Linked DNA regions of Astyanax mexicanus. The protein of the gene in region 1 purifies or fractionates together with the protein of each later gene. This does not show direct contact. Links are inferred from orthologs where the notes say so. Each region holds a gene or a part of one and is shown in the gene's direction. Other genes may lie near its edges. The genes, in order: pals1a, patj, amotl2a and lin7c.

Region 1 (7,083 bases):
TACTGCCCTCCAAATAATTTTGTTTAAAGAATTATTGCACACTTTCTGTAAATCCTATTAACTTTATTTCACTTCTCAGATATCATGGTGTTCATCTGCTACATAACATATTTAACTGAAATTGCTGATCCGAACCACCAATTTATAAAGAAAAATCATTTTAAAATATTCAGTTGTGCCCAAACTTTTAATACCACTGTAATAATATAAAAGTTAAGTTTAGTAAAATAAAAGTTCAGTTCAGCAAGGATGGTGGTTATAGTTTGTTGTTTATCATGGTTTGTACATTTGAATTGCACTCAATTATTTGTTGGCCCGTATTAGACTCTGTTTTTTGTGCTCGGGTTTCATAATAAATTATGTTTTTCTTCATAGCTGTCCTGTGATGTAAAGCTGGACCCCCGTCCGGAGTATCATCGCTGTATATTAACGTGGCATCACCAGGAGCCTCTGCCCTGGGCACAGAGCACAGGTAGGGGAGACTTTACACTAATCAGAATTAATAATCTGGTTACAGTGGCACCTAGATGTGGAACATACACCAATCCTTGTCCACCATATATTTCAGTTGTATATTAGTTAAGTCTGAGGGGTAGTCCTGTATTTGTTTCTCTGCATACTTTATTATTCTCCTTTTTTTACCCTGTTCTTCAATACTTGAGGCCCCATAGGAGAGACTACCACAGAGCAGCTATAATTATTTGGGTGGTGCGTCTTTACACCTTAACACCTCATACACCACCACCATGCTAATCAGTGCTAATCACTGCAGTGCTACGACCCACCACCTTTGGGGTCCTGAGGATTGAAGAACAGGATAAAAGGAAGAGAATAAAAAAGTATACAGAGAACAGATACAGATACAGTGTGTAAAAAGGACTCAAGTCTGAAGAGGAGTCAGTTTGGATGTAATTTATCTTAAAACCGGTTTAACTCGCTCTTTTTTTTCTTCCCTCTCTCAGGAAACCAGATGAGCAGTCGGTTGATGAGCATGCGCAGTGCCAACGGACTTCTAATGCTGCCTCCCAAAACAGAGCAATACGTGGAGCTGCACAAAGGAGAGGTGGTGGACGTGATGGTCATAGGACGGCTATGATGCTGTCTTAGGAGGACCAGTAAGCCCAGAGCGAAGTGGTGCATGTCCACATATCATTTACTACTCTGTAATATGCAACGGCACAGCAAGTTTTTATCGATTTGGATAATGATGATCAAGTATAATCATATAAACATTTTGAAACAAAAACTTCTGAACAAATTTATGAGTATTTCAAGACTTCAAAGACATCCTAGTATTTCAAAGAAAGAAAGATATACCTTTTAAAGAAGATATATATATATATATATATATATATATATATATATATATATATATATAAGAAAGAAAAGAGATTTATTCTGTAATATATTATAATAATATAATGATTAATATAATTATATATATTATCATCATCATATTAAGCAACTCTCCTCTGTCTTTCATCGCAATTGCTTTTGTGTGCTCAGTGCTAGACCTTATAGATAGCAGTAGCATTTTAATAAAGAGCTGTATGCGCCTGTCCAGATTACATCACTGGAAAAGATTTATTTATTTTTTTTTTTTTTGAGGGACAGAACCGCTCGAGATGACAGCAGAGTTTTTTCTCGGTTTCCCGTCTCTATCGGACTCATTCAACACCACTCGGTGCACCGAGGTGACCCAGCTTTTTTCCCTTTAGTATTATACTGTATGCTCCATTGAAGCTTCATTGCACTTCATAAAGGCCTCACAGAACTGCTTTGCTTGTCGTTTATCTCGTGAGTCGTGTTTATGTGCGCGGTGCCAAAGGCCTGGGCCGGGGAGGGAGTGGAGTGTGGTTATGAAACTGAGAGACAAACGTTTGATTAGTTTATCAGTGTGGACTAATGGTTAATTTATAACAGCAGCGCTTTGTAATGGGCATTTAAATCCAGAGTTTAGCTTTTTCTTTTTTTTTAATTAAAGCAGTTAAATGTTGACTAATCGACTAATTAAAAGAATCATTATTAGATTAGTTGACTACCAAAATAATCATCAGCCCTGTTAGCCCTACTGTTCACAAATGACACATCTGTGTCACCCATATAATGTAAAACATTGGATTTGGTCCACATTTACCTGCTGTGTCTAGTAGTAAAATGCACATATGTTAGTGCAGTTTCTGTTATCCTAGCTACTGATTATATGGAAGGTACATGTTCGATTTGTGCTGCTGAAACACATGAAAGAGCTGGAGCGGTCGGTCCGGCAGACTTCCTCGGTCCAAAACATCCATCATAACCATCTCTCTTCATCGCTCCGCCCTTATTACTCCCAACCCTGCCCTATACCCCACCTCTTTAACCAGCCCCACCCACTCCTAGAGGCTGAGGGAGCTGGGACCTTTTATTTCTTTGACTTTAAAAGGACAATACAGCTTATTTAATTGCTGACAGCCTTTTTAACCTAAATAAATAAATATATAATGTACAGTCAAAACATATATACAAACAAACATAGAAAAGACAACGAACACGAGAGTGGTGATGTACAGATGTGTGACCAGCACTCCTTATGGAATATATTGAAGCAATGAGGAGACAAAACTCTGTACTATAATAACTTTTTTTCTGTAATGATATTCAAACTGATGAAATTAAAATCCTTGATCATTCTGTAAAAAACATGTGGTTCAGTTTCTCTTTTTAAAATAAACATTGAAAGATGGCTGAAGTTTCTGACCGTGTTCTGTTTTTCAAATGGAAAGGAGCATTCACAATTTTGAGAACACTTGTGGTCCGAATGACTGTTACTGTAAAAAGCCAGGTAAGTAGAAGGTGAGCCAATCTCCAAAAAGGCAAAATGTTTAAACAAAGATTTCCTTTTTATGTCTTAAGCAAGAGAAGCTTTTTTAGGATATAATTTCCTCAGTTTCAGATATTTATAAAGAAATGACAGTTAACAGGTACAGTAGAGGTAAAGATAAGGTCTGGAAAACCCAGACCATTTTTAGAGGCAGGGTTCAGCTCTCTATTCTAGAAAGGCACAAAAGACCTTCCTGAAGATGGATCAGACTCCTGAATTGTAGTGCAGCACTGTTCCACTGTAAAGGTATGTGGGTTGTCTTTAGTAAGACTGTCCTATTAAAAGTCCTTCTCAGTATCCTGTTAGTCACACCTACGGAACTGTCTAGACTTAGTGGTGACACTGGTTGTGTGCCTTTTCATTTCTTAAGCATTCATATATATATATATATATATATATATATATTTATTTATATTTATATATTTTTTTATTTTTTTATTTATTTGCCCGCCCACTGAATAACATAAAATTTTACTCAGGAATACAGAAGAATTTTCCAGTTTTAGTATTATGGCAAAGTTTAGATAAGAGGGCGTTTTTCATTATGCCCAACACTGTGCAGTTGGTATATATATATATATATATATATATATATATATATATATATATATATATATATATATATATATATATACTTTCTTTTTAAGCCACTAGGAGTGGCATAAAGTTATCCAAAAGCAGTGTGTAAGGCTGGTGGAGGGGAACATGCCAAGATGCATGAAATCTGTGATTAAAAACGAGGGTTATTCCACCAAATATTTATTTCTGATCTTAAAAGCTTATTAATATGATTTTTTTTGTATTATTTGAGGTCTCAAAGCTCTGCGCCTTTTTTGTAAATTTGACCATTTCTCATTTTCTGCAAATAAATGCTCTAAAGGACAATATTTTTATTTGGAATATGGGAGAAATGCTGTCTGCCGTTTATAGAATAAATCAACAAATGTTCTTGATACACAAACATCTACCTATAAATAGCGAAATCAGAGAAACTGGTTCAGAAACTTTTGTTCCAGAGCTGTAATGTTATATATTTATATGTAAGAGACTACTTGAGTTTCTCTGATTTTGCTATTTATAGGTATATGTTTGAGTAAAATGAACAGATTAGTGTTGTAAAACTGTTTAGGCTTTGGAAAAAAATATATGTTCTTGTCTGAACCCGAGGGGGCGCTGCAGAGTCACTTACCGCCCCCTCTCCCCCCTCCCCCCCCTCCCCGTCTCACTTTACCACAACATGTCGCGAGCCCGGGCCGCGGCCGCTCTGCTGCGCTGCTGTATGTGAGGAGCGACTCGGCGGATACGGATTAAAACCGGGAAGTCTCCGCGGATTTTAGCCCGAGAGGTAAAGACCAACTTTCCCCGCTGTTCTTTCAGTCCTCGGCCCGCAGTGTTTAGTGTCTTGGTGCGGCGGCGCGGCTCCGCTCGCGAGCTCTGCGCTCCCTCGCGACAGGTTGCCAGGAGCGGCGCGCGCGGCGGGCGGGGGAGCGCTGTTAGCCTGTTAGCTTGTTAGCCTGTTAGCTAAGCAGCTACTTGTAAACTCTTCAGCGCTTCTAAAGGAGCGGGCGGACTCACGGCGCGCACCGCGCTGTTTTAACACTTCCTTCTGGTAAATATTCCTGTTTCTGAGGGATTACTTGACATTAACGGGGCTGAATTTGTTCTCCGCGAGTCGTTAAACAGTAAAGTGAATAGTTTAGCTTAACCAGCTAATTTAACCCACAGCTGCTCCGTCCCGGGGCTGAGTTTCACCAACACAGCCTCTTCACAACTTCGCGAACTAATTCTTACAAACACTCGTAATTTCGAGTGTTCCCCCCCTAAACCTCCATAGTTAACTAACTAACTAACCCTAGCTAAATTAAACAAAACTTTAATTAGCTGTTTAATGTCTAATCCGACCTTATGCTTATTTACAAGTGTACTCTACTCACAGCACAGCGCCCCCGGCCGATGTAATTTATAAAGGTGTATAAACTACTAGAAACCCAGATATGAGTAAGTTAAACGTTATCCATCAAAAAGTTATTAACTTAAGTAGAAGTTCAAGTGTTCTTTAATTCCCATGAATACTGAAGTATTTCACATGTTTTGTACTTAAGAGCTGCAGCAGGTAGTTTATAGTAAAATGTAGTGCTGAAGTACTGAAAGTAAAAGTACAGTACTGTGTTATATAGATATGAAAGAAAGCAGTGAAAGGGCAGAACGGGAGCAGTATGGTTTTCATATTAGATCAGCTAAATCTCTTGATTCACTCATTGATGAGCAGCAGCTTCATCAAACCCAGTGACAGAGCAGAGCATCTTTCACTCTGGCTTTAGTGATAATGTGAGTTTAAAATGATTTCTAACATTTTTATAATTGTAACGAATAACAATACAGATTATTTTTGTAGTGGACTTGTATAAGACTGAGTGCAGATAAATAAATACATATTCTAAATATACCTTGACACAATTCCTGTTTTAACAATGAGCCATTTACAAAACAAAATACTCTACAATTTTGTTTACCATTACTTTTGCACATGCCACATTATATTTAATTTTCTTAATTTAATGTTAAATTAAGTTATTGAATTATAATTATACTCCATGATGTTCAAGCATGTTTATTTTTGTCTGGATGTAAATTCTCTACATTTTAGAAAATAAAGAAATTTTGCAATTTAACCAAGAGTGCTCTAATACAGTAATAATAAAACAAAATGTTACCAATACAATATCTTAGATTTTCCCCTACTCAACTTTCGCCTTCTGTTTTGAAGTTCTACATATTGCCATAAATTAATTTAAAATAAAAAATGGTTTTGTGGTGAAAATTTATTTTTGGCAAGCTGAAAATGTTCAATGTTGAACTGGAATTAGGCTGAAACGATTAGTTGATATAATTAAGCAATGACTGATAGAATTAAGCAATAATACACTCATGCCTAAGACTGCAGCACAGCAGTGCCAATATTACACATTATAGCAGAACCTTCGAATGTATTGTTGTGATTATACCGCAGTTCCATTATCGCTGTTTATGGAAAGATTTTGAGCTAAAGAGGACGAGAAAATACCATCTGTTTGGTTATAAACACTTAGAGTTAAAATAGTTATATTACTGCTCCATTTGTAGCTGCGCTGTTTGCCTTGTAAGTGCTGCATCGTTGCTAGGTTACCTGCATGTGGCAGAGTAATACATGGAGAGCTTCGGTTACCGTGCATTACCAGCTGATAATGGCACTCAATTTGTTTGGTTCAGTTTGTAGAATGTAAAGGAATGTCCTTGATTTCAAAGATTGTTGTTGATAGAATTTCAAATTCAGAGAAAGTTTGCTTTAGTAGATTTTGTAGTTTTTCCTGTCCATGTTTCCTGAGAGCAGTATTTCCTGAGACCTTTTGACTCACCGCTTCACTGTTCTCCAGTAAGAAATGACATTGTTCTCAGACATCAGGCAGTTTCCTTAGACATGAGCTGAGTTTCACTCAGCCACACCCCAGATACAGGTCTGCAGAAGTCATTAGATGTAAAGTGGATGAAGTCATTGGTTAGGCTGTGTTTTGGCAAGATAGAATACATATCACTTTCCAGGAATTGTGATTGAATAAATTGCAATATAATAGTGATAATGTAAGGAAATATATTGCATTTGTTTTAAAAACTGTCATAGTTAGGAATGTCCCAATCACATTTTTTGTCCTAGAGTAAATCATTTGATTTTGAGTATCTGCCAATACGGAGTCCCGATCCAATAGTATGGCAATGCAGTTATAATAATTGTCTTACAGTGTGGTTTAGGACTGACTAGACTTTTTATTGTATTATAATATCTCAGGGTAGTTTTGATGCTTTTATGGTGTTTTATGATGTTCTGAGTTTAACAGAACTCTGTGGCATGGAGTTCTATAATGTTTTTCTTGGCCCTGTTGAATCAGCTCATTATAAGTTTGAATGTAGGCTATTTGTGACTAGATAATTTAGTATGAATATTGTTCACAAGAGAATATATTTTAATAACAGTGATATTTAAACACATTTTCAGTATTTCAGTATTACTCATCCGAGTGCCACTTTATGACGATAAAGTATATGCCGGTAATCTGACCATCATAACTGGTGACAGATTATCATAACAGATATAATACACACATTATTTTTAACAGCAGGAGTTACTCTAACTAGCACAGTGGTGTCAATCTGTCATCACATTTCTGTGATTAATATAGCTCGGC
Region 2 (7,935 bases), on another chromosome or scaffold:
CTGTGAATGGGGAAGGAAAAAAAAAAAAAAAGTCACAATTTTCCATTTTTCAATGGCATCCATTTGGATACACACAGAAAAACTGGTGAGTTTATGCCATTAGGGATCTGAAAGAATTGCAATTAATTAATCCTCCCACATCTAGTAATTTAAACATAATTACTGTTAATCGCCAGTAATAGTGCTGATAATTGGTCACTGAAGGGCTTAAGCGTGTTGATTCCAGCACTGATATCAAAAGAGCTGCCTGCGGAGAGCCTGTTCAGCCCTGCCAGGCAGGGTCTTTAGAGCTGAATGGCGCAGTAGCTTGAAGGTCAGTCCAGACCAGGTGCAGATCTCGGAGAGAACGCCTGCAGGACTGGCTCAGGCTCTGCATGGGCTTGCCTTTCACCTGCTCCGCTCAAACACTCAAAAAAAAACACACAAAAAAAAGAGCCCAAGAAGAAGGAAAAAGGAAAGCCTTCATCCGCCAGAGTCTTTTGTATGTCTGCAGGTGCTTAATTGATAAGAATGGCCTTAAAACATGGAGAGAAGGAGAAAAGGAGCTCCTCACGCCACATCCTGCTTCACTCTGGAGTTTATGTATAAAGAACTAGCTCCTCCAGGTGAGATAATGTTAGCAGTGTTTATTTTCTCACATGCCAGTTCCCCTCGGCTCTATTCAGTTTTTGGAGATTTGAAGAGAAGAAACACAGACTTCAGGAAATTAGCGAACTCTCACTTGTACAGTTTGTTAACAGATAAAAAGAAAAGAAGAGTTAAGCATGAAAATTATCAGAGGCTGTTTACAGACTTTAAAAAGTCCAGCCCAAAGTCTGAACTAATGGATAATGTGTTTTTTAATACTGTAAAGATTTTGGTCCGGTTAGTTTTGGTTTCACAATGCAGTTTACTAGTAATTGGTATTACTATTAAATCAATAAAAATCAATTTGACAAGTTGCCTTTCCAGATGTTGTGCCAAATCTAACTCTCTTTGAGTGTATGCAAGCTAGCAGAATGAGCACTACAGACCACTCACAAATATACTTTATTTCTGTTTATACATAAAGGTTTAAACTACAGCTATTGTAGATACAGGAATCACCATCAGTGTAATGCTGTCCCTACATATACAGTATAATAATAAAGATGCCATTGGATAGAGCCGAACATGAGGGTTGAGCTGGCCTTGCCCATAAGTAAAAGGTACTTTTTTTATAGTTGCGTATATGGATGACTGATATCATATGGTTGAAAGACTGGAGCAAAAAATAAATAAATAAATAAATAAATAAATAAAAATTATATATATATATATATATATATATATATATATATATATATATATATATATATATATATATATATATATATATATATGGCAAATAAAATCTGCCTCTGGAAGAGAAATCATGGACAATATGCCCACAATGCTTTGATAAGCTAAAAGAAAATATTGTGCATGTCGGTAACATTCTATTCTACAATTTGTTACACTTGATAATTAACAGTTTACTACCAACACATTTAGGAGGACTTACCGAGAGCTGGATAACCCAAATAGAAGCGGTCTGCACCGAGCCATCCCAGGAACAGTGACAAAGCCACAGCTACTTTGTAAGAATAAACACTCCTAGTCAAACAAAAAACAAAACAAAACATTATCACAAAATATTAACCCCAATGAAATCAAATTCTTTTAGATTAGTATTTACTATAGACATTTAGAGGGAAGAAACTCACACATTACGACATGGAACACTTTTATTAAATCCAACCTCATCGCCACTGAATTTGTACTTGGTCCCATTAGGCAGCAAACAGCTGATGTTTGGTGCAGGAAGACACTCCACTGAAAAAAATAACATAGCATATTAGCTACTAGGGCTGGGCATTATGGATCAAAACTAATATCTGATTTTTTTTTTTAATCCCATAAGGTAATAACAAAAAGACACTTCCAAGACAAAGCTACATGCTCCAGATTTTACACAGGCAGTTTTATTATCCTGTGTCATATCCTGTATATTAGAACGTATTAGTGCTTAAAGGGAATTTAAATTACACTAATTATAAACAAGATTCTTCAAATAAAATGTTTGTTTCTTTTTTCATTTAAAGTACCTTAAAAACAACATCAAAGTGTGATTTTGGTAAAAGAGTCTTAAAGTGCTTAAATAAGTCATTTAAAAAGTGCAATTTGAGTTTTCTTTAAATCTGGGCAGAAACAGTGACAGGTCTATTCCTATACCTGTGTGTAGGAGCTGATTGGTCAGTTCAGGTTAGAGTGGGCATGACAGCTCTGAAGATAAGTGTTTAGTTTTTGTAGTGACGCAGGTTTTGAACTGCCTGTGTTTCTCTGAAATGTCGAGTTCTGTTGTCACTATGTGTTTTATATAAAATGCTCTGAATGGGCTCCTGTGTGCACCACATTTTATTTAGGAAGCGCGGGATTGGTCTGTAATTTTCCTGCACCCTGAAGCCTCCACTGAACGGTTCTGCTGCTTAAAATAAATTTGGGGCAATGTCTGGGTGCGGGAGAACTGACAGAGCTAACTGGAATGCAGTATAGACTTTATTAATACAAACCATACTGTTTGATCTCGTATGAACATATATTTTTATAAATCTATTTTGCCCAGCTCTATTATGGACAGATTTGACAACTGGCACACTGCTCTATACTCTTAAGTCAACAACAAAAAAAGCATAGTGACAGATGCATTTTTAATGATCATCAGTTATCATATGAGCTCACCCCATGCTATTAGATCCTTGCAGTTCTCTGGTTCTTGAGTTGCATCATTTATTATAGGACTTTTGCAGATATACCTGAATATTGTCAAGGAGAAACACAGACTGGTCCTGTTACAGACAATACTTTCAGCACTAGAGCATACAGTTTTAAGGTTTGCTGTTTTATCACATCTTTTTTGATTATACTATATTGCACTCTAAAGGATCTTGAAGTTTAGTTTAAATGTTCAAAAAGTTGTTTATTAATAAATATCAATTAAAATGGATATACAAAAAATAATATATCTTTCTAGCTCTCTGTATATTTATCAATTAGCTATGCTGATGAGCACTTCTCTTTTCTCTTCTTTATCGTACTGATATTTTCTTAATTATTAAAAAACTTCATATAAATATCAGGCAAAGATAACCTGAGTAAAAATAAAAAACACTTTTTAAATGATAATTTCATTTATTAAGAGGGAAAAAAAAGTTTGTGTTTGCCCCATATTCTGAAACAGGTCTGGGCTCTTATGTTTTGATATTATTTTTACTACTACTATAATGATTATTATTATTATTACTACTACTATAAAAAAATATTACTTCAAACAATAGACTGCATGCTTACAATTAGAATTGTGTATAGGGCTGTAACAATAAATATTTTATCAACTTATTATGCAATAAATTGACATAACTTCTATAATGTTTTACTCACTTTGACATTATATGAAGACCCATTAGAATGAACAAGCAGGGATGTAATTTTTTTTTTTTAATAATATGTTTTTTATTTTATTTAGATATTTAGGACATTCTATATTACAATTCCAGTGTATGGATATTTTTTTGTTTAAAATGTTCTCTTAAACAATGTGTACAATAACGTGTATTATGATATAATATGTCTTCAGAATGGGGGGCAGATCGTGCAGCAATTTAATATTATGATTCATTCTTAATTCCACTTTAAAGGGGAGCTAAAATTAGCTTTTATTTATATATATATATATATATATATATATATATATATATATATATATATATATATATATATATATATATATATATATCTATATATATATTCCATTCTATCTTAAATGCTGCAGCCGCTGAATCTGTTGCACTACAATCTATGACTAGGCTTTACCCTTGATTGAGAATATACACCTGAATGGAGGCATACAAATAGAACTAAATTCTTACCCAATAAACCCTCCCAAAGTGTTTGCACATAAGGATGCAGACATATAAGTTATGTTATATTTAAATTGCTAACTAACTTCTAGATTTAGCTACTGGTTTGTTTGTTCATGCTACCTTTGTTTGACAGCACAGAACGCATTAGCCTGGCTAGGTCAGCTAACGCTAGCTAGCTAACATTTTAATTAACAAATTTGCATTAACAATTTTTTTTGCCAGTATAGAACCCATTGGCTGGGTTAAGTCAGTACAGCTAGCTACATAACCTAACAGAGAAAACACACATTCTAACTTAACTTAGCTAACATTTAATTTAACAAATTAGCATTAAGAATTTTTTTTTTAGCAGCACATAACCCATCAATTTTCTAGGTTAGGTCAGCTAACGGTAGCTACATAACAGAGATAACACACATTTAAACCTAGCTTTAACATTTTATTTTACAAATAACTAAATTCCAGAACTGATTTGGCAGCACAGAACCTACTAGCAGGGTTAAATTAGCTAAGGCTAGCTGGCTACAAAACAGAGAAAACAAACTTTGCAAGGTTAATATTTTATCTATCAAATAAAGTACATTTCAGGCTTTGTTTAATAGCAAATACCCAAATACACGCTAGGTCAGCAAAACAGAACCCTACCTACGTTATTATTGTGTTGACAACTAACCTAGCTAGGTTATATCCATCTAGCTAGGCTAGGCTAAGCTAAGCTAAGCTAAACCGGATAGCTAGCCTGTTTCTGCAGCGGAGAAAACACACAAATCCTCCACTCAAACAGCGGAAAAAAGGATACTGTCCGGGGCGGAGATGTTCACAGCTATCCACCTGCTCAGTAACGCTGTGAATTAAAGTCCAGCAGGAGGAGAAAAGCACAAACACGAGCTGTTTCCACCAGCAACAAAACAGCCCGCTGCTGGGTGAAGCCATGTTGGAGGCGGCGGTGGTCACGTGACCCGGAGAGATTTTTTTTTAAAGAGACAAAAAAAAATCAGCGAAAGGAAAATGCAGTTGTTTAACCCTCTAAAGTTCTAGTATTTTTATTTGCACTTTAAATGGTTTATTTAGACAGAGCAGTCGCCTTATTTAGTTAAAAATGAATAAAAACTAAAGAAACAAACCTTTACGCTGATGAAGTTGAGTGTGAGGGGAGTAGTTAACGCCAGCTAAACTTCACCACCCGTTTAGCACAGCTAGTGGAGCTAGCCAGCCTGCCAAACTTACTAAATAACATGTTAAACAGCAGTTTAAAGCCTTGACGCGAGAAACAAACTCCAGGTTAGTGGGTTAATATAGTTAATATACATTTTCAGCTTGGTTGCTGTGTGATAAACTGGTTATTTCTGCGTTTACCGGCGTGTAAAACGTGTTAGAGACTAATGCACCTGTTGTACTGTTGTGTGTTGTGTACATTAGCTAAGCTAGCTATTTGTGGAGAAAGCGTTTAACCGTTAGCTGTTTTGTATTAATCCAACATTATTGACCAAATGCACTACTTATTAAGTAACGTTAACGCTTCGCCCCGATCATGTAGGTCTTGTTTATTGTGTTTAATGTAGTTAAACAGTCTTTTTCTGGGTATGTGAGCTTCTCTCTGTTACTTAACTCTACCTGCTTCCTGTTTTCAGGTGAGGCAGCGCAGCTCCTCTCACTTCCGTCAGACAGGTGAGCTCGGGCGGATGAAAACAAGTGAAATCTCAGCTGAAAGAAGCTCAGCGTTTTAACTACAATACTGTTTTGGACTTTATTTACAGGAACCTCCAGCTTGTTTTAAAGCTATAACTGAAGAACTTCGGCGCTTAAAACCTCGGTAAGTAGTCAGAGTTCGTCTTGTTTTACTTAGTTTAAACACAGCTGCTGTGGCTAATGTGTTATTTAACCGCTAACTAACTTAGCTAACCTGGGTTAGCTCACCGAAACTGAGCTGTCTGTTATGATATAGGAAGTCTCCTAGGTGTTAAGAATCGACATTTCTTCCTGAATAACTGTTTTCTCTCATTGTTACTAACCTTTATTGGTGTTAGTGTAGTGTTGAGGTGAGTCAATGAGATATATATTCTTGAATATATTCATATTAATCTCAAAATTAGCCGAATAACTATTTTATCAGCCAAACATCTGACTACAGAGATGACCAGCATGTTTTAACCAGTTGTTTGGGTGGTTTAGCTAATTAGCTAGGTTAGCTAATATTATTTTTTGGACCTTTGTATCAACGTGTTTAACCCATAATTTCTAAATATTGATACCATGCGTAAAATCTAATCCGATCAATCTAATCAGATATATTCAGTGAGCAGCTTATTAATGTTTTTTTGTTATTATTGTGGGCACATACCGAGCCCCTAAGGTGACATCATATTAAAATAAAAATACTTTGTGGCCACAGCTTATTAAGGTGTGGGAATGAGATCCTGAATCTTGGCTATGACTTATTAAGGCGTGGAAATGAGATCGTGAGGCACGGACACAACTTATTAAGGCGTGGGAATGAGATTCTGAGGCATGGACACAACTTATTAACGCATGGGAACGAGATTCTAATGTGTGTGATTATTATTAAGATTATTAAGGCGTTGACACAACTTATTAGGCATGGTAATGAGCTCCTAATGCATGATCACAACTTATTAAGGCATGGAAATTAGATATTAAGGAGGGGGTACGAGATCCTAGGGTGTGACCGCAACCTATTAAGGTGGGGGAATGAGATCTTAGTGCGTGGGAACAAAGTAATTAGGGTGTTGCCAGGACTTATTAAGGTATGGGAATGAGATCCTAAGGCATGGCCATGACTGATTAAGGAATAGGAATGAGATTCTAAGGAGTGGTCACGACTTATTAGGGCGTAGAAATGAGATATGTTCGAATTGTGTTAAAAGGAAATAATTAAGGCGTGACCACAACTTGTTAAGGCCTGGAAATGAGTTCATTAAGATGTGGCCATAACCTCTTAAGGTGTGGGAAACAGATAATTAAAGCATATATAATAAATTAATTAAATCAAGGCCATTAAGGCGTGGCCACAAGGTCCTTTTGTTTCACAGCTAACAAAGCAAGCAGCTCTCCGGGGTTGTGTACAATATGACTCTCTAAGGAAGGTAAATGGATCTGCATAAATCTTGATTTGTGTTTATCTTTGTCACTCATCTCCTGTTACCTGTTGCAGTGTTGTGGTACACAGGAATTCTGATTTACCCCGCAATATCTGTTTGCTGTTTTTAATATTGTGGTAGATCTACCAAACAAACCTTTGACTTTAAACATGTTTAAAAATTCATATATAGGTACAGCCGGATGAAGAAAGGGTTGTTAATGTTGTTTTTCTGTGTTTGTCCTGACAGATTTATTTACATCCCTCTACATTAGGCTCTCCGGGGAGGAGCAATGTATGAAAATGTGCCAACAGGTAAAAGGATTATGCCACATTTTAGTGATACCTAATTAACAGTATAATAAATGCAAACATAGTTTGAGCACACTTGGCTAAACCGATTGTTGATAATTCTTAAACAAATGTATGTTTTTTTTATTTGCCTTTCTTACTAGCATATGAGCAGAACTTGAAGATGTCACCTTAATAGTCTGCACTTTAGAACGTTCAAGCTTAAAACAATTGTCTTTTGTTTGTTTTTTAGAGCATGTATAAAATCATAAAACCTGTTCCAAATTTTGCACAGGCTATATTGATATCTTAAATGTATTGTTTTGTTGATTTATTATGAAAGGCAGACTAGCTGTATATATTTCTCTGATCAATTTTAATATCAATTTTATGTTAAAACAAAAGATTGCAAAAGATTTCCTTAATGCTGTTTAAATTTTACAGTAGTAAAGTCATTATTTCATAATTGTACTTAAATCATAACTCTGTGTCTTTTTATCTCTGTGTCTGTGTGTGTTCAGTATCTGCAACCGAGCGGCAGCAGGTGCTTCAGGCCTTGGAGAGGCTGCAGTCGAAGCTGGTGCAGCGTGAGGAATGGACTCATAGTGAGCGTCTGGGAGCGCTGAA
Region 3 (7,902 bases), on another chromosome or scaffold:
CTTATTTAGTCTGGTTAGTTTTGATTAGTTTCACACAGCAGTTTAGTGACTGAGCGACTAAGCAACTTAACTACATCCTGACGTCATCAACTACATGGGTAGAGCCTCCCTATATTTTATTCTGGTTTGGAATGTTGTCAGTTTGACACACTGGCTTGCCAAATAAAGTCTCCCTGGAATCCTTTTAAGTGCGCCTTTTGAGTCATGCAGCAGAATGATCAGATTCTGTAACTGTAGATTGATCTACAGCTACAATAGATACAGAATCACCAGCACCGTAATCAGTTGTACTCATACTGTTGCGTAACGCTCCTGCACATCCCCAAGGGAAACATATTTTAGCACAACAATTCTTCTTTTACTTCTTCTATTGTTTTATGGGTGACGATAGTCTGACTCAATTTTCTGTAATTGTTCCAAAAGCCTGAACCATTTACAAAAGAGTTTTTACACTGCAAACAAACCAGACCATGAATCAATTAATCTATTTTGTTGGACCACATTTTGATCCTTTGGTCTCTTTTGTTCAGGAAAGCTTTTCACTGGATTTTGGAGCATTGCTGTGAGGATTTGTTTTTGCTAGTGAGGTCAGGTTTGTGGATGATCACTAACCCACCCCGATCCCCAACTAACCAAAGTATTATTTAAAGCAACATAATTTAGTGAGCCTCACTGTTGAATCAAAATCACAAGCAGAGAGTTTGTATTGAAGTCAACATCACCTTCAAATTAAAATAAATGAGTGGGATAGAGAAAATGGATGATATACTCAGCATTACCCTTAAACATAAAAAGGAATCTGTTTCATTTATCTGATACAGTATATTGTATATAAATTTTATGATGAATGGCGCAATAGAAATGGCTTTGTTTAGCTCTATTTAGCTTTGAGCGTTATGTAAAAAACATTCTAATAATGTTGTAAAGCAAACCTTTATTATACATACTACTACTATATCACACGGGTTTAGAACATTTTTGAACATTTTGTAATATTATTTTATAATAACATTACAGGCTAACCTTCCTAGACCCTTTTTAAAAACATTGCCAAGCGTTCTCATAGCGTTCTCTGTTAGTGAGTACAGCTGAGTTAGTGAGTACAGCTACTAATAGTACAGCTACTAATAATACTAATAGTACTTCCTGAAAAATAGTACTAGTAATAGTAATAGTACTAATAGTTCTTCCTGAAAAAAAATATATATATCCCTTCTATCATTTAATGTTAGTAGAATATAAATTATCTAAAATGTATTTAACACTGGTTTGTTATTTTCTTCTAGTCTATTGGCAATACATTACTACAGGGAAATGTTAATGATAAATAAACACTACGTATTACCCGATTTTGGATTAAAATCTCTTAGCTTAGCTTAAACAGCTTAGAGAATGCTATCTCTGTTAACTAAGTGATTTTTGTTATCTCCGGGCGTTTTCTGAGTGAAATGTTTGCTGATGATCCGGTTCTTGGGTGGGTTTAGTTTGTTAACTGAAGGATGTTGGTAAAAGCAGATCCATGTGGTGATATGATTGCAGTGGATCCACACATCCGGCACACCAACTGCTCACTAGCATCAACAAGCGAGGACATGCTGCTTTACACACAGCTGCCTCTCACTAACCATCTGGACTCAGTATTGGGTTAAATGGACTGATTTTACGTGCTGCAAAAACTGAGATCAGTCCTATTCTCCTTTTCACAAAGCACCTGCATTCTGTAGATTGTATAGGGGTGTGTGCGTGCAGGTGAGTGTGTTTACAGTACGTATGTAGTGTTTACGTACTTTATATACAGGCACTGTTATTGCCCTAGGCAAAGGTAAGCAGCTGCACAGGACATCTTATAAGCTAAGTGTCCTACAAAAAAGATATGGCCTATATTTGATCTATTCTGATTTTCTGAAACACACTTTTTGGACAAAGGTACTGGGACAACTGCACACTACACACTTACAGGAGCTTTTAAAATAATCCCAGGTGAACAGACTCTAGTGTGACTCTTGCACCACCAAAATTTTAATAGAAAGTTATTAATTATGTTGACATTGATGTCTATTAAACTCATCATAAACACTTAGTTCCAACCCAGATAATAGAGAATGTTATAAGAATGTTTATTAAGGTTTTGAAAAGGTTCTAGGACAGTTAGCTTGTAATGTTACAGTAATAAACTCACAGGAATGTCCTGAAAAGTGTGACATAATAATGGTTTGCATCACAATGCTATTTGAATGTTTCACCCAACATTCCCAGCTAGATGAATACTAGCATTATGAAAATGTTAATAAAAACGAAACATTTAAACATTGACACAAACTATGTTGCAGCAACGCTACCAGAATATCTAAAAGTGTAAAATTAAAATATTCTAAGAACATCCAGAAAACTTAACAGATTAAATATTCTAAGAATGTTACCTGTAGCTGCTCAATAATGCTAGATCTTTTTTTGCCAGATTTTTTCTTTTATAATGTACCAAATGTTTTCTGTTTTAAATGGCATGCTGTGTGCTGATAACAAGCTGGATGGTCACTATATGTATCATCAGTATTTTCTGTGTGCTTCAACATGTAAACAATAAAAAAAATACTTTGAATTATTTGGAATAAAATCATCATACATTCTTACAAAAACATACGTCATACAAAAACATTATGCACACATACACACACACACACACACACACATATATATATATATATATATATATATATATATATATATATATATATATATATATTTTTTTTTTTTTTTTTTTTTTTTTTTGGGTTGTGTAAAAAACGTTGATATATAGTGAGAGGGGTCTGTAGGGGGATGGTGTATGGTGTGTGTATGGTGTGGGGGGTGTGTATGGTGGTGTATGGTGTATGTAGGAGCAGATGGTAGACTCTCCCCTGTAATTCTGCTGTGGGAAGAACAATGCGTCTATCTGAAAGCTTATTAAGGAGGGGTAGACCAGTGCACTCCAGAGACAGCTGGCAGGCAGCATGCCTCTCTCACACACACACACACACCCCTCCCTCACTGTCCACACAGACACACACTCAGCAATTAACTGGCACGGGCCAGGGCTTAAATATTCACCAGCTGAAGGCAAACAAAAGAGCTCAAATCAATACTTTACCAGCTTTCTCATTCAACACATTCCACACTCACCATACACACTCCTGTTCAAATATACCGCTTTAATCTTACAGAGGAGGTTTCAGTATTCTTTAGTTTTTTTTAGATATGTGCTGCAAACAACATAATAGAATAAATAGATTAAATTGGTGAAAAACAGTGTTTTCTTTTTTTAATAATGAAATGAATAGGAAAATTGCACTGTGGCAAAGCATTCAGAATTCAGAATGTGAACTTAAACATTATCATTTTTATATTGGAATTTTATGATAATTGGACCAATAGAAACACTTCAAAATGGCTTGAAATAACATATTTTTACATTGACCTTTTTTCTTACTCCTGTAATTTTGTACAACAAAAAAGTAGCTGTTTGCGAGATATGATTTGTGTGAAAAGCATGTATCTCCATTTTTGTTGATTTTTTTTTCTATTATTTAAACCCATTTAAACTCAAATGATATGGTGAATAGACTAATAGAAATGACTCAAAGTTATTTGGAATAAAACAATTGGATACTTTTCTCTGAACCACTTCTAACTTCCAGTGGAAGTCAATGTAAAAACCTGGACACAATGTGAACGGCAGCTGGTGTGTTCAAATGCTGTAAACAATAAATAACTATTACTTACCCATACCTTGTGTAGATGTGTGTAAAATATTTGGGGGGTATAGAGCAGTGAAATAAAGGACAAATTATGTTGAACACATATGGCTGCCTTTGTCCTCATCCAACATTCTGCTCTCAGTAACACTTGTCACTGAAAGCAATTAAATCTCTACAGTAATGTTTAAAAATCTATGAGAAAACAGGAGTCAACATTCCTTCTATTCATGTTTACTCTATTCATATACATACACACACATATAGGCCTACATGCCAAACTAACCTGCACCCATTCACACCTAATGGAACATTCCTGCCATTCACGCTACAGATACACTATACTGTCCAAATGTTTGTGGACACCCCTTCTAATGAATCCATCAGTAGCAGAAATGCTTCAGAAATTATACAAAATATACTTTTAATAATTTCTGCTTCAAGAACCCTGACAAACTTACCATTTCACTACAGCCAGTGTAATTAGTGCTGTTTAATTAGATGAAGTTCAGCCACAATAAAAATGTATGTGTATGTTTGGCTGCATAATATTTTTATACAATACTTTATTGATTTAGCACATTTCATACGATCACCAATAAAAACACAAAGAAAACATATATGTAAATAAATGTAAACTTACAATAAAACATCAATAAAATAAGAGAAAATGATAATAATAGCAATAAAATTATGAAACGAAATATAAACTATACAAATATATTGAAAATAGATGGATTAAAGCTAAGTATAAATAAACTAACTATCTTTTTGTAAATCTAAGCTAGATCTACATAATTGTTCTAGAATTAATCTAAATATATATTTTAGAAATTCCTAAATAGAAGTTAAATATGTATAAATAAATGTTTTAGTTGCTTTGTTAAGTTGGTAAAAAACTGTTCATATATGAAAAAGTGGTTAAAAACTCGAGTAAATCTAAATATAATCATTAATAAACATGATTAAATAAAATATATCTCAACATATAAGCACTGAGCTCTGCACCAATCCCAGCAGAGGAGCGGGAACGCAAGCAGCCAATCCTGGTCCGGTGGGCGGGGCTTGTGTGAATCCCTGTGGGACCCGCAGCCTTCACATTCCTGACATTCCGGAGCCGGAGAACAATCAGCGCGAGCGCTTAATAAGCGCGGCTCCTCCCCCCGGCCTCAGTCCGCCGCCGGAGCGCAGCGCGAGCACAGCCCGCGAGCAGCTTTAACACGGATATAAACACAGCCGCCGAGCTGTACAGACTTCTAAAGGATCTAAAACTCAGCATTTACCCTCATAAACTTCATATTTCTGCAGGGATGCCGGAGTAACTCGGTGAGTTCTGGGGTAAAACAGCCACAAACTGCGGGTTTATGTGTATTTGTTTTCAGTTTAAGCTCATTTTCGCTTTCTTTTTAACATACATTTGTGTATCTTATCTATTTTCCTTTACTGGATTCCTATTTCTGTTCTCTCACTAAACTAGTTATCTGTTATTTCTGTGTTTTATTACTTCTGTTTAAAGAATGTAGCTTGCTGTGTTAGTTATTTAGCTAGAGGTGGACGATATGGTATATAATATTGTATCACAATACTTTTATTGCAATATTTTGACATGCACAAAAAATCAGATTTGTGAAAACTAATATTCAGATGCTTCCAATACTTTTAGCTAATATAGTTATTTTATTACAAATATACTAAACTAAAATCCAATTAAACACTAATAATTAGCTACACTTTCTGTAATGATATATCAAGTATGTTTGAAAAAAGAAAAAACGTTTTTATCCATTTTATTGCATAAAGTAAAGAAGACCTTTTCCTTCTTTTATAAAGACAATATATGGAATACATGATTTTCTTTGGACAGTTTAGCTATGATTTGCAGTGGATCAGTGTTTTTTAGCACTGCCAATATTTATTGTATGTTCATAAAACTATATTTATTGTGATACAACAAAATACTAACCTATTATCTAGTTAGTACAACATCTGTACCAAGAACTATTAAAGCGTTCCCATGTTTCCAATGTTTCCTATGTTGTCCAGCTTTTTGGACTGTTAAATGTGGATCTGGGGTTGTGTGGAATACTCTGGCACTATTTGCTGTAAATGAGGCCTTATTTGCTTGCTCAATAATGTGAGTTTGCTCAGTTGCGTGAAGGTGAGGCTACAGGAGAGGAATTTGGAGCAGGAAAAGACTGACGCAAATGCAGGTTCAGAAGTCTCACTCAGACTCTAGTAAATGCCATAAGGTCAAACTGCCTCAAGTTACACATACCTGGAGGTTTTGTTGGTTATGTTGGGTCTGTGTGTGAAACTGTGTTTCACAAGCTGTAATCTAGTGCAAAAAACCTTTATGAAATTAATGACAAGCAAAAATTGATAGTGAATGTGTGAGGATATTTGTGAAAAGCCATAATGTAGTTGGTTGAGGGGGTTTATGTGGGATTTTTATTGGCTGAGGTGGTGTTGTTGCTCTAGAGGGGGCATGTGGACTGGAGGGAAACCCATTTCACAACCTAAATTTCTCTTTTTGAATGATGCTCTATGATTAAACTACAGCTAAGCATTAAACAAAAACAACTGTTATGTAAGTTACACATTAAAACAACAGATATTACTTTTATTTAGTGCATTCCACACATTTTCTGAGGTCATCTGGTATACCAACAGTGGGACACAGACCACAGTTTAAGAACTACTGCCTTTACCTGCTGAAACATAGGCCAATTTTAGTTTGTTGTACTAAACTGAACTTAAGTGTGGGTCTACACACAATGTTTAAGAGTATAATCCACTGAACCACAGGCTATTTTTAGTTTTTAATATTATTTATTTACATATATATATACTTTTTATAATTTTATTATCATGCTATTTTCATTACTAATGTTTGTAATTGTTTTAACTTTTAAACCCAGGTTGACCGGTCAAGCCACATAATCGCTCAATCATCACGTCAAGTGTTATATTCTTTTGGCACTACACTTGAACCTTGACTGAGATGAGAACCGCGGAGGAGTCCTCGGGCACGGTGCTGCACCGGCTGATCCAGGAACAGCTTCGGTATGGCAACCCCACGGATACCCGCACTCTCCTGGCCATCCAACAGCAGGCCCTGCGTGGCAGTGGCAGCGGCGGGGGCGCTGGCAGCCCTCGCTCGTCCCTGGAGAGCCTAACTCAGGAGGAGTCCCAGTTCCTCCAGATGTCCACGAGACAGGAACCCCAGGGTCAGGAGCACCAGGGGGACTACCAGCACTCGGAAAGCCCCGTGTGCCACTTGTACCAGCTCCACACGGAAGAGCTGCCCACCTACGAGGAGGCCAAGGCCCACTCACAGTACCTGGCCTCTCAGAGGGGTCAGGCCGGCCTGCAGCAGGGTGGGCTGGACACCCCCGGCGCAGATTCGGGGCTCGAGCAGGACCAGGGCACATGGGACCTCAAACGGGAGCATGCCAGGTCACTAAGTGAGCGCCTCATGCAGCTTTCCCTGGAAAGGAACGGTGCTCATGATAACATGCCAATGAGCTCATCGCATAGTTACCCCCAGCTATTCGGGCATAGCCACGCTGGTGCTGCTGTCCTTGATCACGGGCATGATCAGCGCGGGCCACCTCCGGAGTACCCCTTTACCGTTAAATCCCCTGGATATATGCTGAGCCATTCGCAGGAGAACGGGCACTATTACAAAGAACCCCCTCCGGCGTTCCACTCGCAGCACCACAGGTAAATAATCAATATTTGATCATTGGAATAGACAATATTATTGACGTTATATTGACATTCATAAACATTCATAACAAAGTTAACACAACTGCCAGTATCACTGTCAGCAAAAATGACATTTTCGTATTCTGTAAGATAAATTGCTAACATAATTATTTTGACAGGTCTATCTTTTCATATCACATATAATACACGTTTTTTGCAAAAGTAAATTAAATAAGCATACCAACCCTGATTTTTGGTTTGTTTCTTCCAGATATGTACCAGCCCAGTCACAGGTGATCAGAAACAATACCCTGCCCACACTGCCCCCTGCTGGCCAGGAGGTCATCGTCGCAGGATACAGCATCCAGGCTCCTAATCCTCAAATGGAACAACTCATAAAGGAAAATGAGAAGCTGAGAAGGGAGGTGGAGAGCTACAGTGAGAAAGCAGTGAGACTACAGAA
Region 4 (7,460 bases), on another chromosome or scaffold:
GCTGTTGTCAAAGCTTTGCTGTTTATTTTTTTATCCCCACGAAATGAAAGAAAAAATACTATAAAAACTATATATATATATATATATATATAAATATATATAAAATCTATTCATTGATATGTTCTGGATTAATATAATTCATTTTGTATGTTGTGAAGTTGTTTGCAATATTAAATTGAAATATTTGAAGAAATAAAAATGACTATAGGCAACTGAAAAACTGAAAAAAGCAATGTCAATAAAGTCTGAGCTCTCCCTTTGCAGGTTTAAATTCAGCACAGATATCGGAAAACAGAAGATTACCTTCTATATTATTATAATATATTATTTCATATGTAAATTGGTGTTGCTTGTCAGAGATTGAGGCTAGTTTTGGACTAGTTTCCAATTCTACAGAATATTGGCCATACTTTATAGTATGTTCTGTGTCTGAAAACTAGACTTTTATTGTGAAGAGGCAGAATCCTTTATGAACCTGGTTGTGAGCAACGTTGAAACCGGAAATCCAGATTAAAGGAGAACACTGGTGTGAAATGGGCTTTTGTTATAGTGAAACATGATAATGATTATAAACTTTTGTTGAATAGCCCACCTCTGCTCACCCTCAGCATTTTGAAATACAGGGCTTTTAGTTGATGCTCCCAACTGGCTTGCAATGCTAGTGGTAGGGGCATAGTGTCGCCCATGCAAAGAAATGGCTATTTTTACAGCATTAACGAGGCTACAAGGTACTGTATGTATAAACAGTATTTTATACATATATATATATATATATATATATATATATATATATATATATATATATATAGTTTTTTAATAAAGTGTAGAGCTACTTTGAGCCTTGCTAATGATATAAACATAGCGATGCCTCTAATGCTAGCATTGTTATCCTGTTGGGAGCATCAGCTAAAAGCATTGTATTATATAATGCTAAGGGAAGATGGAGGTGGGCTATTGAACAAAAGTTCCTACTTATTAATCATATTCATCAACACAAGTCAATTCCACACCAGATTTCTCTCTTTTTTTAAGGCTAGATTAAACATTGCACCTCCTCTCAGAACGTCTTTCACACACACTACCTGACTCACCAAGGAGTTGGTGACCTGGGAGTTCCTGCAGCATGTTCAGGTAAGGACTCTTCAGCCCACGCTAGACTGAGATCTGCTCTGAAGTCGGTGGTGGTTCCCTCCAGTCACTGGTCACAGGCTATCACAGGTTTCCATCGCTGATGGAGATCATCTTTGAGGAGAACAAAAAAAGAAAGAGATCAATGCATTCAACACTCATCCACTCGACTTGATATCTGATCCATCTGCGAGCGCAAACCTGCTTTCACTCATAGATTGTTATCAGACACATGTGTCTGAAGTGTTGACACTGAGGCAGTATTGGAGATAAGGCACAATGTAGGAATAATTACTCTTTCCGTTGCTCATGAATATTTAAAAATATCAAAGGAAATCATGTTGGGGTAGTACGCTGTAAGAGGACTATAATTATGATAATGATAATACTCTATGAATTATTATTATTATTGTGCCATTTGCATTCATACTACTATTATTATTATTACATTATTACTACCGTATTACACATGTCCTTACACCTACTACCTATTCATAAGAGCTTCTATAGACTATAGATTTGCACACACCTAAAGAAGGACATCAAGGACCTTCGCATTTTTCTCAAGGACCTTCATCAATAACCCTCCTCAAACCCTCTAAATACAGGTAAAAGTGTTATTTTAAACCATGCAAACTGTGTCAGTTGCAATACTAACATAACTAATAACTAACTAATAACCTGAATAAAAATGAGAACAAATCCACTTCAGGTAGGCCAAGAGCCATTTTCACACTAAACATTACACCTCCCACTGACCAAGAGCCCGGTTCCATATCTCCTGAGTTATTTTAGTGAAGTTCAGATTGTCCCCAGTTCAAAGGCAGTGCTTGGTAAGAGCCAGCAGAGCCCTGTCCCATATGCCACAGAAATAGGTCACACTTAGCCTGTCCGTTTCTGAATTATACGGCTCTTAAAACATGGTGTCTGTGCAGTTTGCTGCTGTAATATAACACCAGAGGAACAGAGCAACAGAGCAGGATGATGGATGATGGATGAAGGCCTGGCCTGCTAAGTACCACTGGAACTGGAAGTACTGGAAATGGATTAACTCTGATGGTGAGACAGATATGATGCTATCCTGCTGATATTCCTGCGTTCTTATGATAATAACAAAATACAATTAAATTAAATAAATAACTTATCTTATTTTAGAACATTATTCTTAGATAAATCAAAAATACTAATCTAAAATCCATACAATGGAGGTAATTTAGCCTCATGGCCAGTAGATGGTAATGCTATCTAGCTAATACAACACCAGTAAACTCTCCCTGTATTCCCTATTTTAGACATTTTCTACCTAATTCCAACCATGAAACATATGCTAAAACTCTTTAATTTAGGTTCCTATCATTATCCAACGCTACAAACATGCTATAAACTGTTTTATTTTTAATAGAATCTCTATAGAGTGGGAGAATATCATCCACTTGAGAATGCTGTGTTTCAGGTGTGTCAGACACTAGAGGGCGATTCCAGTCCAAAATGAATGGGTTCCTATGGAGCAATTGAGCAAAAACACATTTTATAAACGTTTTATATATTTTTTACTGATAAATGGACTAATTTTCTCAAAACAGAGCCATATTAAATGTTTCAGCACAGCACACATCATTTTAAAAGCTTTTCAACTCTATTTATAAGAGTTTTAGCCAGTCACTCAGTACTAAGTAGCATAATGCTAGCGTCTCTACTGTTCAAAATATGTGTACTATAGAAAAATGGATCCATACAGGTAGGTTTTCTTGTCTTTCTGAGTGAAATACTTTATTTTACTTTTTAAAATGAAAGTAAAATCATGCATGAGTAGTTAGACAGTATTTGAAATATTGTTTTTAGCAGTTTAGCTCCATTCACTCCCATTCATTGAGGACTCTCTCGCGGGCTCCCTCTAGCGGTAAGATAGTAATTTGCTGATATAAAGGGTGAGATATGAAGTGGGTAGTCTCTAAATACTTGATTCAGATTAAAAGTAGATTTAAAGGCAAAGCTGTAATTAATTATAACAATATTGCCAAATCATTACAACAACAACAAGAAAAAATTACAATACAAAATACACAACAAAGCCTGCACAAAGCCTTCTCCAAATATTCTCAATGGGGTTTAGGTCTGGACACTGGTGGTCTATTCTGAAGGACAACAGGTCTAAATTTTTGTTTTGTGCCACAAATCATTAAAAAAGGAAAAGAAAATACATGATGTCCATTGTAATGATTTTTCTGATTAGGTAGCCCTATTCTGTTTTATTTTACTTAGTTGAGTATTTATTGTCATAATCTGGATTAGAACATTACTAAAATAGAGCTATTCACTGTATACCTGTACCTCTACCTCTTCACAACTTTACAACTGATGCTCTCAAACACATTAAGAGACAAGAAATTCAAGTAATTAACTCTTGACTAGATCAGCACAGCTGTTAACTGAAATACATTCCAGGTGACTCCTCATAAAGCTGACTGAGAATCTATACACACTAAAGTGTGCCATATCGTATTGCACGCAATAATATCACCAACATTTTAAATGTCTTGAACAATATAATACCCTGAAATAATGTGCCATATCACGCATCCCTAATTATCAGGGTACTACTTTTTTGCTTTTAAAAGAAAAATTCACAATGTCCTCATTTCCCTTTATCTATCTACTGGTTTATAACTGTCAAGTATCATTCATTTTACTTTAATCCTGGATATATGGAGATATTTGGAGTGCATTATTATTAGTATCATGACATTCTGGATCATAGACTTCTGTTACAAATCTCAGTTAAGGGTGTGCCATATCATATCATATGCAATCATAACAATTATTTTTAATTTTGTTCCAGTAGTGTATTCTTGAAATACATATCGCCCACCCCTAAGCTATGCTATACATTATCCCACCATCATTACATCTGAGTACAGGTACACTTTGTAACAAAATTATATTACTCCTTTTTAAAACACTAAATTATTAAAACAAACTTTTTTTATGAAAACTCTAAATTATATATATATATATATATATATATATATATATATATATATATATATATATATATATGTATATATATATATATATATATATATATATATATATATATATATATATATATATATATATATATATATATATACGTATATATATATATATATACGTATATATATATATATTTTTTTTTTTTTCAGTGTTTTCTCATATCGCCAAAAGTATCGTTATCGCAAAAATACCATGAGATGTCGTGATATTATTTTAGGGCCGTATCGCCCACCCCTAACACACACATACACAAACAATACTTTGTGTTTACAAAAGGAATGCGCATACCGTGCGCAGCGAGGATCCTGCCCGCCTCCCGCTGTAATCTCTCCGCATTAGCTAGCTTAGGTACAGGCAGCGGAGCCGCGGCGCTGAGACCGAGCCTTTATTCCGGCACTAGCGGACTAAACCCGGGTAACATGGCCTCGCTGGGGGAACCTGTGAGACTGGAAAGAGGTAAACTGTGTATTTCAGTGCTTTATTTTGTGTTTTAAAGGCTGGAGAGGCGCAGTTAGCCTGCTGTCTGAGATAAGCTTTATTCCGGGGCTGCTGGAGGCTATTAGCTAAACTAAGCTAAGCTAACCCAGGTAGCTCACTGTCAGCTGGACTAGCTTAGCTTAGTTCTAGTTCAGATTTTTGAATTAAACCAGCCCGAAAACTACTGTTTTTATCACTTTAAATATATTATAATGTTAATTAGGCACTAATATAGTATCATTTAACCAGTTCAGTCGATTACTGTTTTGGAAAATGTGGAAAAGTCTTGAAAAATTTGTGTAAACGTGAGATTTATGGTGGGATAATGTGTAAGTTAGCTGTCATTGCTATAGAATACTCTACTGCAACAAAATGAATATTATAATTTATTTGGAGATATAATAGCATATAACGGTAATATGATAGATTTTTAATTGAGGAACACAAAGTTTGTTGTAATAAATTACTTTTATTTTATTATTTTTAAACTGGTGGCATACAGTAACGTTATAGTTAGCATAGCTATTAAATGCTCTACTGCAACAAAATAAATATTAACGTTTATTTGGAGATATTGTAGCATACGCTATGATATGGCACACCTCTAATTTAAAGTTTTTATATTTAAAAAAAAAGTTTTTTTTAAATGTATTAAAATTACTCCTATTTTAAAAAAAGGAGTAATATAATTTTGTTAAACAGTATACCTGTATTCAGATGTAATGACAGTGAAAGCCTCTTGACTTGAAAATGTCTTGAAAAATGGGTATAAATTGAGTTTTAATGTATAGCATAACTTAGGGGTGGGCGATATGGTATTTTGTGGTATTTTCATGATAACTATACTCTTCGCGATAAAAATTGTATTTCAAGAATGCACTACTGCAACAAAATGAAAATAACATTTAAATATTGCTTATATGATATGATATGGTACACCCCTAACTGAGATATGAAAAAATACAAGAAATTGATCAGATTTGTAACAGAAGTCAATGATCCAGAATGTCAAGATACTAATAATGTACTCCAACTATCTCCATATATCCAGGATTAAAGTAAAATAAGTGATACTAGACAGATATAATCATTCTCTAGTACATGTATAATGGGAAATGAGAACAGTCTGAATTATATTGTGATAATTAGTGGTGGGTAATATGGCACGATATTTTAGGGTGTAATATCATTCACAATATTCAAAAAGATTTATTTGTAGATAATATTTATCTGAAATAGTTATTATGGTGGCATAATGTAAAACATACTTATAGAATGCTCTACTCAACAAAATGAATATCAGCATTTATTTAGAGATGATATAACATACGGTATAATATGCCACATCCCTAATTTATTTATTTTTTTCATTGAGAAACACATGTAGTTGTTTTTAATTAATTGCTGTTTTTAAAAATTAGTTTGAAGTGAGTTTTATAATGGGGGCTTCAATATGTGAAGTGAATTCCAGTTAAATTTGTGAGGTGGATATTTAAAGGGTTGGGTATGGAAAGGCAAGGGCCGATGTCGTCCTCAGGCTGTAAAATGCCCAGATCTCCTTTTTTTTTATTAAAAAAATCTGCTACTACTGATGCATTTAGTCTTGACTGTGAAAATATGATGCTAAATATCGTTTATATCATTTCTGATACAATATTTAATTGTATTGCCCAGCCCTGTTGTTGACTTCCCTAAATCACAAAATAACTATATAAAAAAATTCCAGAAGGATTTAGATTAATTGGTACTCCTGGTTTGTTGTCTGGTCTTGCCTCACTGAAAATATCTTTTCACAGATATCTCTCGTGCCATTGAGTTATTGGACAAGCTCCAGAGGACAGGGGAAGTACCCCCTCAGAAGCTGCAAGCCCTGCAGAGGGTTTTGCAGAGTGAATTTTGCAATGCTGTACGAGAGGTAAGCTCACCTTGAGTACTCTTCATTAACATTAGACCCACTGATATTGGATAGTTACACCCATGATTCCAGTAATATTGTTAATAAATCATAAGAAACTGGTTAAATTACTTTTTACTTTTCATTGCACGACTTTGTGTAACCATTTACAGTTATTTAGTGATGTTAAGTATACTTTATTTATTTATTTATTTATTTAGAAACTTCTCACTTTTCTGTGTTTTGTATATCTAAAAAATACAATTTTTCTAGTCTCCGCAATAACAACAAACCATCCAAATAGACCGGCCATGAAAGTTACCTTATTACCCCATTGTATAATAATTGTTTAATTATTTTTACTGACGTCAAAAAATTGTGCATTGTGTTTATTTTAATGAACCTTTATTAAACATTAAAGGTAGTCCTAATTTTTAACGAAACCAAATATTTACAACGTAAAGGAAATTGGAAAATAAAATAAAATTAAAATCAGTTATAATCAGGTTTAACTAAAATAAGTAACTTCATAAAGAAGACAATAAAAAAATTAATGGAATATGCATTAAAAAGCAAACAATAAACATTTAACTGCCGTTTGGACTAGTACATCATCTAAATAAAATGTAGTTATTTTGACAGGCCTTCCTACATTATAGTAATTATGAACTTTTTTTTTTTTTCCTTTTGAAATATAATTTTAAGAAGTTTTTTTTGTAGTACATGTAGGCTTTTAAAACATTAAGGCATTATATGCTTTAGACAAGAATTGCTCTGTCCATGGACTGAAACATGTTCCTGTATGCTGAGAATCCATTTAAGTAATTAGCCATAGGCTAAAAGGCTTTATAGGAGTGGCTATGTTTGTCCTAGAAAAGGAAAGACCAATTAAAGTCACACTAACAGCCTCTACAACCGATAGCTGTGC

The links.
Region 2: the proteins of pals1a (region 1) and patj purify together in Homo sapiens (co-immunoprecipitation; 5 studies listed by BioGRID and IntAct, counting the BioPlex papers as one, with this or other methods). This does not show direct contact. The link is inferred for Astyanax mexicanus from reciprocal best matches to the Homo sapiens genes PALS1 and PATJ.
Region 3: the proteins of pals1a (region 1) and amotl2a purify together in Homo sapiens (affinity purification with mass spectrometry; 3 studies listed by BioGRID and IntAct, counting the BioPlex papers as one, with this or other methods). This does not show direct contact. The link is inferred for Astyanax mexicanus from reciprocal best matches to the Homo sapiens genes PALS1 and AMOTL2.
Region 4: the proteins of pals1a (region 1) and lin7c purify together in Homo sapiens (affinity purification with mass spectrometry; 3 studies listed by BioGRID and IntAct, counting the BioPlex papers as one, with this or other methods). This does not show direct contact. The link is inferred for Astyanax mexicanus from reciprocal best matches to the Homo sapiens genes PALS1 and LIN7C.

What each region holds. Positions count from the first base shown.
Region 1 is NC_064421.1:29,477,970-29,485,052, forward strand, and holds the start of pals1a (protein PALS1), read left to right. Parts: upstream 1-4,077; 5' UTR 4,078-4,208; intron 4,209-4,388; exon of another isoform or gene 4,389-4,472; intron 4,473-7,083. Other genes in the region: gphna (gephyrin a), read left to right, coding at 376-472, 963-1,096. UniProt on the Homo sapiens protein: Plays a role in tight junction biogenesis and in the establishment of cell polarity in epithelial cells.
Region 2 is NC_064423.1:15,520,987-15,528,921, forward strand, and holds the start of patj (inaD-like protein), read left to right. Parts: upstream 1-4,930; 5' UTR 4,931-5,201; intron 5,202-5,551; 5' UTR 5,552-5,588; intron 5,589-5,677; 5' UTR 5,678-5,733; intron 5,734-7,267; 5' UTR 7,268-7,310; coding exon 7,311-7,332; intron 7,333-7,829; coding exon 7,830-7,935.
Region 3 is NC_064412.1:48,138,306-48,146,207, reverse strand, and holds the start of amotl2a (angiomotin-like 2a), read left to right. Parts: upstream 1-4,883; 5' UTR 4,884-5,057; intron 5,058-6,649; 5' UTR 6,650-6,732; coding exon 6,733-7,454; intron 7,455-7,710; coding exon 7,711-7,902. UniProt on the Homo sapiens protein: Regulates the translocation of phosphorylated SRC to peripheral cell-matrix adhesion sites. Required for proper architecture of actin filaments.
Region 4 is NC_064430.1:6,993,676-7,001,135, reverse strand, and holds the start of lin7c (protein lin-7 homolog C), read left to right. Parts: upstream 1-4,448; 5' UTR 4,449-4,580; coding exon 4,581-4,617; intron 4,618-6,434; coding exon 6,435-6,553; intron 6,554-7,460. UniProt on the Homo sapiens protein: Plays a role in establishing and maintaining the asymmetric distribution of channels and receptors at the plasma membrane of polarized cells.